Lytechinus pictus: one gene and its partner. The protein of the gene in region 1 interacts with the protein of each later gene in a pairwise test. Links are inferred from orthologs where the notes say so. Each region holds a gene or a part of one and is shown on either strand. Other genes may lie near its edges.

Evidence for each region. The genes of interacting proteins can lie anywhere in the genome.
Region 2: the proteins of methylenetetrahydrofolate reductase (NADPH)-like (region 1) and proteasome subunit beta type-1-B-like interact in a two-hybrid assay, tested with the Caenorhabditis elegans proteins (3 studies listed by BioGRID). The link is inferred for Lytechinus pictus from reciprocal best matches to the Caenorhabditis elegans genes mthf-1 and pbs-6.

Annotation. Positions count from the first base shown.
Region 1 is NC_087258.1:5,055,505-5,063,125, forward strand, and holds the start of methylenetetrahydrofolate reductase (NADPH)-like, read right to left. Parts: upstream 3,496-7,621; 5' UTR 3,342-3,495; intron 1-3,341.
Region 2 is NC_087259.1:10,581,686-10,589,887, reverse strand, and holds the start of proteasome subunit beta type-1-B-like, read left to right. Parts: upstream 1-5,094; 5' UTR 5,095-5,255; coding exon 5,256-5,335; intron 5,336-8,202. UniProt on the Caenorhabditis elegans protein: Non-catalytic component of the proteasome, a multicatalytic proteinase complex which is characterized by its ability to cleave peptides with Arg, Phe, Tyr, Leu, and Glu adjacent to the leaving group at neutral or slightly basic pH.

The DNA of each region.
Region 1 (7,621 bases):
TGCGGCAGTAGCGTGAAGTGTAAAAAAAAAACGAGGGGCGCAGTATAGCACATGAGCTAAAAAGCTGCTTTATATAAGTCCCGAACGAAGCCAGCGAGAAAAAAAATCACCTTTTCATGATAATACTACTAATAATAATAATGGGTATTTAGAGGCGCTAAAAACAAAACGTACCATAGCGCGTACAATGTAGGAATAACAATTCAACATTTGCAATAATTACTACAATATTCAACATAAAAAGGGAAATTAATTATTGAGGAAAAATGTATGTCTTAAGGGAAGATTTGAAGCCAAGAACACTGGAAGCATTTCTTATTGAAAGAGGGATAGTATTCCAAGTCTTGGCAGCTGCTACAGCAAACCGTTTTTCGGCAGAGGAGAGTTTTGACAAGGGAATGCAAAGTCTGCATGTGTCAGTGATTGAACGAAGATTACGAGAGGGTGTGTATAATTTGATGGTATTATTAAGATATTCAGGTGCTAGATGATTTAGAGTTTTGTATACATATAAACAGACTTACTACTAATAATACTTCCCTTATATAGCGCATAAAACTGAAAGTTTCTCTACGCGCTTTACAATAAATGAAACAAAATTCACATACTGCACACAAAGAAGAATCTAACTTTGAGCTATTTTTTGGCATTATATTCAGTAAATAAAATCATATTCTACACTTTTCCTTTGCTTTTCTTTCCTCCTTTCTTTTTGTTCTTGTTTGTAGAACTTTTTGGGATCATAGCCCAACCCTTCCATACGCAGTGCTGTGCGGTTGGGGTCCGGAATTTTTTATATCAAAGCCATTTCCTCGCAGATTGCCGCTATTTTAATCAAATCGCGGGCATGTACAGGATATAGCTTTTACAAAACACATTTATTCAACCCAGTTGCGTAATGAACCAAATATTTTGAGGGGCAAAACATAGTAATGTGGGAAAAATCTGTAAAAAGTCGCAAAGCGATCGAGCTGGAAAAAAAAATGCATTTTGAAATTAAATTCGAATTATGTAATTGATTTTTCCATTAGATTCAGCAACTAACAAATTTCATTGTTTCCATTCATTTCATTATACCTTGTCTCCTTTAATTTATTATATTTCTCTTGGGTGTGGAACCAAGACCCCCCCCCCCCCGCGCATGTGCAGTAATTGAACGTGATTGTGAACGGGAAGCGTTATAGAGCAATTTGAGGTTCAGTATAAATGAAGAGCCCCTACAGCTGTGTGGGGTCTGGGGCAAAGCCCCGGTAGCTTATTTACATAAAATTTAGCTAGCTTATATATAGCACAATGTTGTATGCAGTCCATCTTTCTTCCTGCTCTTTAATTTCAATCATCGGAAGCCCGGTCGTGTTATTTTTTTTTCTTGTCCCTTTTCTTTGTTTTCCAAAAATTAGCTTTTGACTAATTGCATTTTACCTTCGTTTCGCGCTATTGTTTGCCATTTTGTCATCTTTTAATTTATTTCCCACCGTGCTATTGCATTACATAATTATGCCTGTTTTGGAATGATTTGTTCTTTCTCAAATGTTCTTCTTTCGTTCATTTTCCCGATTTCCTTCCTTTTCCGTTAAAAAGGGTTTTTTTCTTCGTTTTCTTTTCACTTTTTCCTTTCCTTTTCCCCTCATTCCCCTTTCCCTTTCTTTCTCCCTCCTTTTTTTTCCTTTCCCGTTTTTCTTTTATTCCTGGTTAAATCCGCCAGGGGGCAACTCCCCCCCCCCCGCCTGTTACGTCATGAATATCCATTAGGTGGACTGATGATGTCACATCTCCACTTGTTCTTTTGTAATTTATTATATGAAATTAGGTTTATTCAAATTTTTTCCTCCAAGAACTAGAAAATTTTGAGTGACAACTGATTTAGTGCATTAGATATTTATTGCTGCAACTTATTTCATTATAAGGGAGACATATTATTCACACAAGTATGAAATAAATGAAAAAAATATGGTTTTGTGTGATAACATATGAAAACGGAAAATGGGGATGTGACATCATCAGCCCAACTAATGAATATTCATGATGACTGTTTTCACAAAATATTGCTTAACTTTAAACTTCAATAACTTTATTATTTCTTATCCGATTTTGATGAAATTTTCTGCATTTTGCTCAGTGAATTCCACTCTATGTATTAAGATATAAATATTTTCAGCCCGGACCATCCCTTTAATTCAGATTCCTTAACAAAAATATTGAAAAAAAAGGAATAAAAAAAAACAAATAAAAAAAATACATGACAAATTAAAAATAGGCCTACAATAAACTACATAAGATATTAATCATGTTTTGAAATTCTTTTTTTTTAATGTTTTCACAAAAAATTAGCACTCTACAAGCAATAATATGAGTTAACAGCAATATATATTCATAAACTAATTTGCCTCATTTATTTTGAAATTATGAAGTTTTAACTCGTTGAAAATCTGTAGTTTTATAAAAACCATAGGCCTATATGGGGGTACAAATTTTCGCCAGTCTGGCAAACTTACACTAATCACGGTGTGAAAAAGCACAGTTAAAGATATCAATGCATACTGCGGACTGAAAGTAGTATAAATTTTCACGTAGGGCCTACAAAACAAAATGATGAAAATTTCATCAAAATCTGATAATAATAAATAGCAAAGTTTTGGCGCATGTGCCACTGCCAGGTCTATGTATACATGATATATCGAGTCATTGTTTCTCCTATTCCCTCACCCCCATCGAGCCCTTCGTCAAAAGCTGTATGGATCCGCCCCTGAATAAAAATTCACTAAAAGTCTAAAGGCGGACGAAAATCCCCCCCCCCCCATTGGTAACGACATTGCCAGAGCCGCGCATGCGCGCGCTGCCGAGGTTGGACGTCTGTCCAAATAAATATTACACGTATCGTCAATAGAACCAAATCCGCCGAGGAACCAAATCTGCAAACATCAAGCCGCGTTAAACCCGGTTAAAAACGATATCGGCCATTAAGAACGATATCTGCCGGCGGATACGGTATCCGCCGGTGGAACCAAATCCGCCGCTACACCGGCCAAGGACATTTGTTGTTGTTGTCTGTTGATACCGCAGATCGAAAAAGCTAGTCTAAATTTGTTCACACAGAGACTTGAGTTACCGTACCGTACCTAAGGCTAAGGCTAAGTTAGATCTCAGACTCAGTTCTCTAAAATTTTCGTGCAATTTTCTGACTTTGTGTTCTGCGCGGCGCAGTGTTGCAAGTTTCCTCCCTAAAAATGCATAATGGTGAAAACAATAAACAAATTGGCCAACAAACTTCACAATATAAACCAAAGTAGGCTTAGCTTTACGAAAGGGTCTATAAAAATTGAAGAGTAGAAGATACGTGCCTGTACAACAAAGCAGAACAAGACTACGATATCTCGTTTACATACAGCAGGTGCTTCGACGTGCGTTCGGCGAAGGTTGAGAAGCGAAAGAGACCCAAAGAACATCGCAGCGTAATTTTATGCCGTTCGCAATTCGGCATATATATATCAGAGTGCAGTTCGTTGAGCGCCCTCTAACGTTACAGCGAAACCACCGTTCAATGCAGCTGTATCGATATCCGAATGCGTCTATCACACCAGAATCAAAGGTTGATTGGAATATCACATCACGAATTGAACTCATGTTCATTTCTTCCACCCCTTCCACCTACCTACAAAGTCAAGAGCATGATGCGCATTCAGCGCTGAGCTTGGATAGTTGGGGGTAAAATTAATATAGGCATGCATTTTAAACGTCTTTTTTAAATTGTAATAATTGTATTGTATTTATTTTCCATTCATAAAAACATGCAAAATACAAACAAAATACATCAGATATAATTACAAAATAAAATAAATACATAGGAATGGCTGGATTGCCCATTCAGAGTGGAAATTATTACCACTCTGTTCTGCCTAGGGGTCCAGAACATAATAAAATAGATCAGATTGTATTATAAACATCATTAACAACAGAAAAGAACATTGTTAAACACAATATAAAGTAATGAAAACTAGACAATAGACATAAAACAAAATTTAAAGTTATGAGTTCAAGCCATAGAGATGTATACTGGTTCAAGCTACAAGCAAATACACCCCACCCCCTCCCGGCAAAACAACGTGTTGCTCAGAGATCAATGTAATTTGAAATCTTAGAGCTCAAATAAGTAATAAATGTAGTTAAGTCTTTGATAAAATAATTTCATATCTAAAGGTAAGTCATTATATAGGCGTGAACCTCTATATATAAACATTCTACGGCAATTTTCTGTATTTGGTTTGGGCATAATCACATTACCTACGGTTCTTAAATTATATGAGTAATTACAATATTTAAATGAATCTGCTAAGTATAATGGAGCCAGGCCGTTCAATGATTTGAACACCATTGTATATATATATGGATATTTCTTCGTGATTGTAATGACCTCCATTCGAGTCGTTGGTGTATTTCTCTATTTGATATTCGATTTTGCGGTTTAATGAACATTCAAAATGATACGGCCAGCTCTGTTCTGAATTTTTTGAAGACGTTTAGTATATTTCTTATTTGTGGATTCGTACACAATATCAGCATAATCAAATAAGGGAAGTATAACTGAACTATACAATGATTTTAGATTACTTTCAGTTACGAAATGTCTTAGACGTGCTAAATATTTGACAAGCTTATTAGTTTTCTTACATAGTTCTTCAATATGAGTATCCCACTTCAACTTTGGATCGAGATACATGCCTAAATATTTAACAGAGTTAGATTGCTTAATAGTTTTATCAGATATTTCAACATTTATATTTGCACATTTTGATAACATAATATTAGTTCGAAAAAGCATAGAATTCGTTTTATCAACATTACGGCTTAGTTTGTTGTGGCACAGCCAACCATATATGTTATGTAGATCAATATTTATGTAGTATTCTATCTCACTGATATTTTTCCAGAAAAATAAATAACTGTGTCGTCTGCATACAGATGCAGTTTACAATATTTTACATGTTTATTGATATCGTTTATGTATAACGTAAAGAGAATTGGCCCTAGGGTTGAACCCTGTGGAATCCCATACTCTATACTTGAGACGTTTGATGTAATATTCTCGATACATGTACATATATTCCGGTAATCCGGTTGCATAAATAACTCTCAAACCAGTGCAAAGCATCTTCTGAAACACCAATCTTTGCTAGCTTCTTCACAAGTATTTTAACATCCACAGTGTCGAAGGCTTTTTTCAGGTCGATGAATACTGCCCCGTATAACATGTATAAAGACCCTCGTCCATTGCCTTGTGACTTTCAAAAGAGAAGTCATTGTTGAGTGTTTCTTTCTGAATCCGGACGGACGTACTGATCCACACAGATCAGTATTTCATTTTCTTTCATGTACAATTTAAGTTGGTTGGATACAAGTCTTTCCATAATTTTTGAAATATAAAATGGAGATTGGTCTATAGTTACAAGGTTCATTTTTATCACCTGATTTGTAAATTGGAATAACTTTTGCTATCTTGTATTTATGTGGGAACGTACTATCTAGTAGTGATTTATTGATCAAATAAGTAAGTGATGGAAGCACTGGCGTACCTATAGGATTTTCCAGGGGGGGGGGGGCAAAAAGGTCTTTCAAGCTCGTCAGGGGGGGGGGGGGCAGGGATACATGCATGGGTGGTGGCTTTGCATGGGTGGTGGCTCGTCAGGGGGGCAGACTGCCCCTCTGCCCCCCCCCCGTAGGTACGCTAGTGGATGGAAGTATGGCTGGTGCAGACATTTTTAGTATTTGAGCAGTAATACCATCTATACCAGAAGAAGGTTTATATTTTTAATAATTTAATCTCTTTTGAAACATCCTCTTCTGTTACTGCTGTAAAATAAAAAGATGAATCCAGGTTACATTGCTCCGGCACTATTCCAGAACAAATAGGAATCTTGGATGCTAAATCAGCCCCGATATTTGCAAAATAATTATTAAAATTCTCACTTTGCTCAAATATTTGTTCTTTGTCAGTTTTAATCACAGAATTTGATTTCTTAGAAGGTAATAATGATTTCATAACAGTCCATATATTTCCAGCATTTACTTTTAGTTTTGTTATTTGATCATTATAATATTTTTTCTTTTCTTTCCTAATTTGGCAAGTGATTTTATTCCTGATCTTTCTATATTCTATCATTTTAATTTCATCTTTACTTTTTAAGGCCCTTTTCTTCAATTTCTCCCTTTCTCGAATCAATTTAAGTATTTCTGAGTTCATCCAGGGCGATTTTTTACTCTGAATTCTTCTACTTCTGATAGGCGTACAATAGTCAACAACTGACATTAAAAGTTCTTCCCATTTGATAAATGCTTCATTTATATTATCATAATTAAGTATCTCGTGCCAAGACTGGTTATTTAATCTTTCCATGTACGCTTCTAGATCAATACCAGATAGTTTTCTGAAGTTAATCATTCGAGAAGCGTCTTCATGTTTTGATTTCTATATCATGTAACTCATTGAGTGGTCACTGATACCAATGTGAATAACACCATATTTATTTATATTTTCAAGTGAATTAGTAATCATATGATCTATGAGAGTCATTGAATTGCATGTGACCCTTGTGTAGTCGGTTCTATTAATTTGATCTAAAGAATATAAGTTATGAATTTCTTGTAAACGTTCAGTGTCAGTCGATAATGGAGACTTTAAGATGTCACAGTTGGTATCACCCATTATGACAATATACTTGTTAAAACGGTCAAGATATGATAAATAGTTTTCATATTGCTGGAATATATCAAGATGAGAGTTTGGTGGTCGATACCAGGTACTAAAAATAATTGGGTTTGAAAACTTTGGACGTATCATTAACGAAATTATTTCTAATGAGTTCTCTACTTTATAATCAATTTCTTCAAAAGATAACGAATTTTGGATATAAACAGCTACTCCACCTCCGTGTCGATTTCTATCTCTACGGATAAGGAGATAATTGTCAATATTTAATTCACTATTGAATATTGATTCATCTAAAAACGTTTCATTCAGTGCTATATAGTACATGTATTTTGTTACATTCTAATAATAACTTTATTTAATCAATGTTCCGAAGGAGGCTACGAATATTTAAGTGTACAAATCTAAGACCTGTACTTTGTAAGCAATCAAATTGCAACGGGTTTCCTATTTCTGATAAGCAAGAAGTGTTGACATTCACATTACTTTTAGTGTGAGTGGTACATGAAATGTTATCAAATTCACCAGTTAAAAAAGGTAAGTAATTGAAAAGACAATTGGTACATTGCCAGTCTAAAAACAATTGAGTATATAGGATCATCATATAAATCATTACTTATTTTAACACATTTTGTGTAAACCCATTTTTTACAGACAGTACATTGTAAAGCTCTTTGAGTATTTTTTACACTTTTAAGGCACTGACGCAAGGAAATTGTTTCACCATTAGCTAAAAACTACATAAAAGTAGAACAAAATGTTAAAACACTATTCAATATAAAAATAATACAGCCGTAAAGTTAATACAAGAGTTCTAGTTGTAGATAACGAAGGATTACATCAGGTCCATGAAAATTAATGATTAATATGTAATCAACCCTGCATTTATTAAAATCTTCATCAGTAATATCAGTCCTG
Region 2 (8,202 bases), on another chromosome or scaffold:
TCCAGCTGCAGTACTATAGGCAGAAACATAAAGAATTGATGTGAGCAGACATTATTCGAGAAGGCTCTACCTCCAATATAAATGACGTTATAGACTTAGCATCTACTTGAGAATTTAATTCGGATACTATCTTTGTGGGAAAAAAATAGAAACATTATTTTATGAAGTCTTCCAATACTCCTGTCCCGACATAGTCTTTGGAAGGGAAACTTGTAATTCAGAAGTTGTAAACCTTCTATGCTCAATTTGATTGGGATGTGTTGAGTCATATTTTATTACCTCATCGTTTTATTGTTTCTTTTTTTTCTGCTTGAGAATATGTTGGGGAGAATATGCATAGGAAGGTTTTTTGCCTTTCCCATGGGGAAGATTAACAATCGCATTTAAAGAATGAGTATGAACAGGATATGATTTTGGAACTGTGTTGTTTTTCTAGATGGACAAGTTTGTGAATAAATTTTTGTGACCAATAAAAGCCTTGGGAATTTTCTGCCCCCTTAATTGAACAACAATAAATGTGTGTTGGATAATGTTTTTATTCCGACTAGTATTGTTTATTAAGCCTTCTGACACAAAGATTTGCACTTCATCCCGATGTCCCTGTCCAGCCAATATCTTCTTGTTTGTTGCAAGGGTAAATTGCCAATTCGTCTACTGTCTACTCGTCCACTATTTACATGGTCTACTTTCATTTAGTCTAACGCCATTCCGTCCATCAACTTTTCGTCTAATAACCATTTGGTCCAACTTCGTCTATGACCATTTCGTCTCATAACCAGTTGGTCTAATATCCATTTCATTTTCATTCATTTTGCATAAATTAACACTTAATAGTCCAATTAGGCCAAAGGGTACATGGACTAAATGGCTATTGGACCAACTGGTTATTAGACGGAATGGCATAAGACTCAAGTCTGAAAGTAGACCATGTGGTGAGTGGACGAACTGATGGTAGACCAGATGATAGTTGACGAGTTGGCAATTGGACGAAATGGCATTAGACGAATTGGAAATAAACCATTGCAAGTGCTAAAATTACATAATTTGTGATTTCTTGCAAATCTTTGTGTCAAGGAATGCTGATGATGGTGGTGGTTATGGTGATGATGATAATGGTGATGATGATGATGGTGGTGGTGGTGGTGCATGGCGGTGATGATGCTGATAATGAGGATGAAAATGATGATGATGATGAAGATAATGAGGGTGACAATGATGGTGATGATGATGATTATAAAGATGACGTTGAAGAAGATGATGATGAATATGATAAATTACAAAACGACGGCGATGATGATGATGGTGATAATGAAGATGATGAATTACAAAATAACGACGGCGATGATGATCATGGTGATAATGAAGATGATAAATTACAAAATAACGACGGCGATGATGATGATGGTGATAATGAAGATGATAAATTACAAAATAACGACGGCGATGATGATGATGGTGGTGGTGGCGGTGATGATGCTGATAATGAGGGTGACAATGATGGTGATGATGATGATTAAGATGACGTTGAAGAAGATGATGATGAATATTAAATTACAAAACGACGGCGATGATGATGATGGTGATAATGAAGATGATAAATTACAAAAAATAACGATGGTGATGATGATGATGGTGATGATGGTGGTGGTGGCGGTGATGATGAAGATAATGAGGGTGACAATGATGGTGATGATGATGATTAAGATGACGTTGAAGAAGATGATGATGAATATTAAATTACAAAACGACGGCGATGATGATGGTGATAATGAAGATGATAAATTACAAAATAACGACGGCGATGATGATGATGGTGATAATGAAGATGATAAATTACAAAATAACGACGGCGATGATGATGATGGTGATAATGAATATGATAAATTACAAAAAATAACGATGGTGATGATGATGGTGGGATAATGATGACGATGGTGGTGATAGTGAGGATGGTGATACAACACAGGGCCGCAGAACGGTTTTGAAATTGGGGAGGCTACGTACATTCAAAAAACACAAAAACGTTTTTGTACATGGAAGAGTTAGTTCCAACATCACTTCATTCATTCATTTATTTATTCATTTTTACAACAAAATTTATAATGCAATAATTACAATAAATAAAACATAACATCAGAAAATATGAATGACATAAATATTCAAATAAACCAAACATACAGAATATACACCTGGTACAGAATATAATATTTCCAAATTGATAATAACAAAATGCAAGATATGTTGGAAAAATGGAGTGGCCCACTGAAAAGCAAAGCTTGTAAAGTGTGGCCCCTAGCTTTCAAGAACAATGGTGTTACATGTAGGCATTCTTTCTGATGATGGCAACAGTGGTTGGTTTTTTTTTATTCAAAATTCACCTAGGCCTATGTAGGTGTACTTGAAATGTTCCACAAATAGTCCGAAAACTAATAGTGTAAGTTACGTGATCCATGATGATGGTGATGACGATGATGACGATGATGATGATGAGGATGATGATGATGGTGGTGGTGGTGGTGGTGGTGGGGTGCAACCTATGAGAATAACACACGCAGCACCCTCCATAAAAGTCTCGGGGATGGTTCAGCACCCCTGCTTCCAGAGCCATTGGTCTCAGTTTGAAACTTGATGTTCCGCTATTTCAGAAAGTTTTCCTAATACGATCATTGTACAGTCCGACGATAAATTCAGGAAAATAGATTGGGCAGATAAAAGTCATGATGTCTATAATCAAATGATTTAGCAAAACTATACCACTTTTTAAATCATTTAGGTATACCCCAACCCCTCGCCGGTACGCCAATTGTGATGATAATGGCGGGGATGATCATGAATATAATGGCGATATGATAATAATTATGATAACGTTCATTATGACTGTGAAAGACAAATGGAATAAGAAAATGATAGAGCTATGGCATTTTACAACTCGACCTTTTTAGATTAGTCTTACTCTATACATGAGGATGATGATGTTACACATTTTATTTTACAGGGTAGTACATCTCAAATTCGACTATTTATGAGGCATGTGAGGAATAGAACAGTCTCTTATTATAGGCCTATATACTGTTGGGAAATGGAAATATTTTATTTATCAAATAACAAAATAAAATAAAAAAATAAGTTAGTGAGTCTTTGACATAATTGGCTCCCTCATTTGCAAGACCGCCAATTGTACTTGGCCTACTACTTTATAAAAGTATATTTGAAGAAAGAAACTTAAAGAAATTGACTCAAATGCTCTTTTTTACTTCCGAAACAGACAAACAGTCTATTTGAAAGAAATACTAAATACTATTTGAAAGAAATACTAACACATGTGTAAGCAAAACCTCTCACACAAAATATTTTCCACATCTCCTCATTTGCTCATTAAAGGGGGAATTCACAATTACATTAAATTGATTTCAATAGAAGCCAAAAAAAGAGAGGAACATATGCCTAAAAAGTTTTAGCGAAAATCCATAAGAGGATATAACGAAATTATTATTATTTTGTTGTTATTGTTGTTGTGTTTGTTTTTATTTTGTGACGTCATATGCGAGCAGTTAATTCTCCCCTTATGAGCATCTTTTTATGATGGCTACCTGCGCATTACAAATGTGTGTACTAGTAATCGATTGTTCAACATATCATTTCATAGGCCTATCGGCTTCTATTTTTACTGAAGAAAGAGAAGGAAGGAAGTAGTCGTGGGCCATTAAAAATTGAAATTTATATATATTGGGAGCTACTCGCACATGACATGACGCTAACATTTAACTTTTAAATTATCGCCAACTTATGAGTGAACCCCTCCTTTGATGAACGAATAAGACAATTCATACGAGAGCGCAATAAACTGGTATAGTATCATCAGCCAATAGCGTAATGAGCCCCCCCCCTCTAAAAAAAATGAGGGGGCAACATAATTTACGTGTAACAAAATTTCTTAAAAGTCGTGAGCGAGTGAGCAAATGTTTGTCCTTTTAAAATGACAATCTAATTTTGCGATAGGTCTATATAGTTTGAAATATTTTTTAGAAAATAATACTTCATCTGAACCTTCTTCCTTTATGTTCCCTTTTTCCTACTTTGAACTTTTGGGACCCCCCCCCCCTCCCACACACACACACTCACTCACACAACTGCAAGCCATGACAATAGCAGAACAATATATGAACAAATTAAATACAAAAGATTTACCAATTAATTGTAATTTATATATAGGCTTAATTAAAATAAAAATTTGTAAAAAACGTTTATTCATGTGTTACCATTTTAATTTTAACCGGGGGACAGGAGGGGGCTCTAGCCCCCGCACTTTTTTTCCAAAACCGTGTACAAAAACGAAAAAAATTACCACCTGATTATGATTTTTGCATGGTCAGCCCCCCCCCCCCCCCCCCACGCACGTTTTATTCAAAACCGTTCCGCGGCCCCTTTATATATATGCCTATAATTTGATTCTTTTTTTTTTTGCCTTTCATTTTGCATTTTTTATATTGAATTATAATGTTGTCCTTTATCGAGATATTGTGTGATTGTCATTAATTTTAATAAACTGCTGTAGGATGACACTTGAAAATAGAGATACATGTCACTGTAGTATTAAACAAAAGTATTGGAGTAAAAAACCCTGCACCGGCCTCAATCCAATACCAAAGCTATTTTTTTAAGCAAACACGTTGGTATCAATCATTCACAAAGCATTTTCATTTATTTGATGCAAGATAGAAGAGTTATGTATCGAAATACGCCTCGGTCAAGGGCCGTACCGGGTATCGAACCCCGGACTTTCATTGTGTAGTCGGGTACCTTAGACCACTCGGCCACGGCACCAAGCTATTTTTTTTTTTTATAATATTTTATTTTCTTCCTCTTTCAAATCAAGTTAATCACTTCGTATAAATCAAGATTTTGTACATATATACGAGACAAAGAAATATATCAATATCAATGAGATTACAAATTTTCAGAATTATTAGAAATGAAGTTAACTGCCCAATTTCTCTTACATTAAAAAAGCAGAGAAAAAGTATCATCAATCGACAAATAAAAAACAGACTTTGTAAAAGGTGACTTTTTGCACTGCAAAACAAGAGGTCTAGCGCCATCTACATTTCATAATTGGGTAGTGTCGTTTCGGTCGCTTTTTGGAGCTCATGACTGGCAAAAATTGAGATTGAGACCAAAAAAATAATCGTTTTATTTGTATATTTAAAGACTATTTGTTGAATTATTTTGTGCCAAAATAAAAGGAGGCCAACATCATGCAGGGAATGCACGAGACCGTCCCGAGTTATCATCCGGTGGAACAACAGAGATTCAATCCATACACATTCAATGGAGGGTAAGGTTACTCGTCTGTCCACTTTGTCAGTTTGTGCAGCGCTGTCCCTCCTCGCCTAGCCTCAGCTCCGGCGGCTCGCTCGCCAAGGAGGGAGCTAGGCGGTGGAGCTGCCGCGTTCATGGCAGCCAGGATCAGCTCACAATTCACATTCTGAACGCTAGGTTACTCTCTAAATTTGCGCTAATGCAGTTGGCTCTATCGTCATCCAAGTCACTGGGGACAAACTTGAGACACACCTTTATCAAAATATCAGCAATCTTTCTCTGGAATAACGCCTTCTTAAAGAGGTTTTCAAAACCAAAGTCTTTATTAAATAGAAATCTAGACTATTGTTTGCGAATTGCGGCGTGAAGCTTCTGAAGTCTGAACAGGGGCTTTCTTCCACCACACGTTTTCCTATTGACACAATAACAACTGACTCAGACACTTTTTCAAACAACAAAAAATAGTAATCTTCTTTCTTTTCTCCTGAATATTCTTCCAAGTTGAAACAAAAACACGAAATAAAACAAAATTAATCACACTAAAAACTAAATTTTAACTGCTCGTGATCCCATAGCATAGGAGGGGACTCGAATAACGATATGCTCGTCATCCGAGTCCCCTCCTGTGGGAAATTTGCAGTTAGATCTAAATAGTATTTTTAATGTGATTTTTTATTGATTTTAATGATTCTTATTATCGAGGATATTCATTTATCATCTCTAAGAAACTGTCTAAAGTGGCAGTTAAATAGTTTTTTTTTTTAATGTGATTTTTACTGATTTTAATGATTCTTAATTTCTTATTATTGGAAAGTCAAAAAGGGGGCCTAAGCTTTCGATCCTAGCAGAATCTTCGTCGGAGGCAAAATGACAAACATATAAAGTGGAACAACCATAATATAGACCACAAACAAGCTACAGCAACACTAGAAACAAGGAGACAAAAGGGGCATTAGTGAGTAGAGAAGACCAATCAGGTTAGTGAAGGGGATGAAAGAAAAGGAGTAGGCAGACACTTATTATTGAGAATATTCATTTATAAGACTGTAGGAAACTCTCCAGAAGTGGCAGAGTGGTTTTGAAGAGGAGGGAAATGCAAAATGAGGGGTAGATGAATATCAACTTGTTAATTGCCGTTTTGTATTTTAGGAGAGGGGACTTGGATCACGAGTTTCAGTAATAGTATTCCTCGTTATCCAGTGAAGTCCCCTCCTATGGGAAATTGGACAGTCTTTACACAGGAAGGGGACTCGGATCACGAGGAGTAATTAGACAGTTAATAAGTATTTTAATGTGATTTTTATTGATTTTAATGATTCTTATCGAAAATGTTCATTTATCATCTTTAGAAAAAGTGTCTAAAAGTGGCAGAGCAGAGTGGTTCTGAAAAGGAGGGAAATGAGGGGTAGATGAATATCATCGGGTTAATTGCCGTTTTATTTTAGTGGGGGGACCTGGATCATGAGGAGTAATGACACATTTTTATAGTGTTTTTAGTGCAATTCTATTGATTTTTAATAATAATTCATATAAAGAATATTCATTTATCATATCTCTAGGAAACTGTCTAAAAGTAGGAGTGGGCTATACATGTAAATGGGTGATTTTTTGTTTTATTGTGGCAACAGTTTTTTTTTGTTCCTTAGCAAGTAGCAAGCAGCTTTTATAGCTATATTGCCTTAGAGAAATATATCTTATCAAATAAAAGAAAGTTTTATAATCCATAGGGGCTATACGGTACATGTATACAATGCACTGGAGACTGGACATACACTACACTGCATACAATCATCTAATTGCTATTCATTTCATTTGATGTTTATTTTTTTATCTCTTGTATAAGACAGAAATAACCATTGTTTCCAGGGATTTATTCAACAATTTCTGAATTCTTACTATCATCCCATTCACCTAACCAGGAGGCTCCTAAAGAGTAAAAATCATTCTCTAACATGAGCTTACCTCCATGGAGCCAGGGCATGTGCCTACATGTATATCTTGTCTGTAGTGGCTGGGCTTTTTTAAAACTTTTGCCCCTGTGATTTCAACTTTCCCTATAAGAGTTCTAGCCCTAAGTCATGTTCATGTAAATGGGCTAGCATAGGCGGATCCATGGAGCCAGGGCATGTGCCTATATCTTGTCCGTAGCGGCTGGGCTTTTATTAAACTTTCGCCCCTGTGATTTCTACTTTCCCTATAAGAGTTCTAGCCCTAAGTCATGTACATGTAAATGGGCTAGCATAGGCGGATCCAGGGGGCCGCCCCCCCCCCCCCTATTGGCGGAGCAAAAGAAAAAGAAAAAAAAAAGAAGGGAAAAGAGAGAAGAAGAAAAAAGAGGAGGAAGAATGGAAGATGAATGAATAAAATAACATGAGGGGAAGACTTGGAAAAAAAAAAAAATCTTTCATGTCATATAAAATTTTCGCTCGTGCTTCACGCTCGAATTGCCTGTTCGAATGATACGTACATGTATGTAGCTTGTTCAGAAGCCTGATATACATGTAGAGCTTAAAATATCAAGTTTTTAAGTCAATAAGCAAAACGTATTTCAACATGGACATTGATCTTTTATTAATTTGCTTGATTTGCCAATTAATTTGAAAAAAAGTGCTTTGTAAAATGTCTGTTTTATTATCTGAATATCAACATTTACAGCTCACGCTGCGCGCTCGCATTATTTGATTTGTCAAGTACCTATCCTCTTCATGCATTCCATAAAGTTATAAAAAAATATATATCTTGTCAGGTCTGATTATCAAAACATATCAACTAGCGCTGCACACTAGCATTTTGATTGAGTTATGTGTTCTATAACAAACTTCTTAAAATCCCCTTTTGACAGTTTATCAATATATTCGGCTTGTAATTTGCGCTTGCACCATT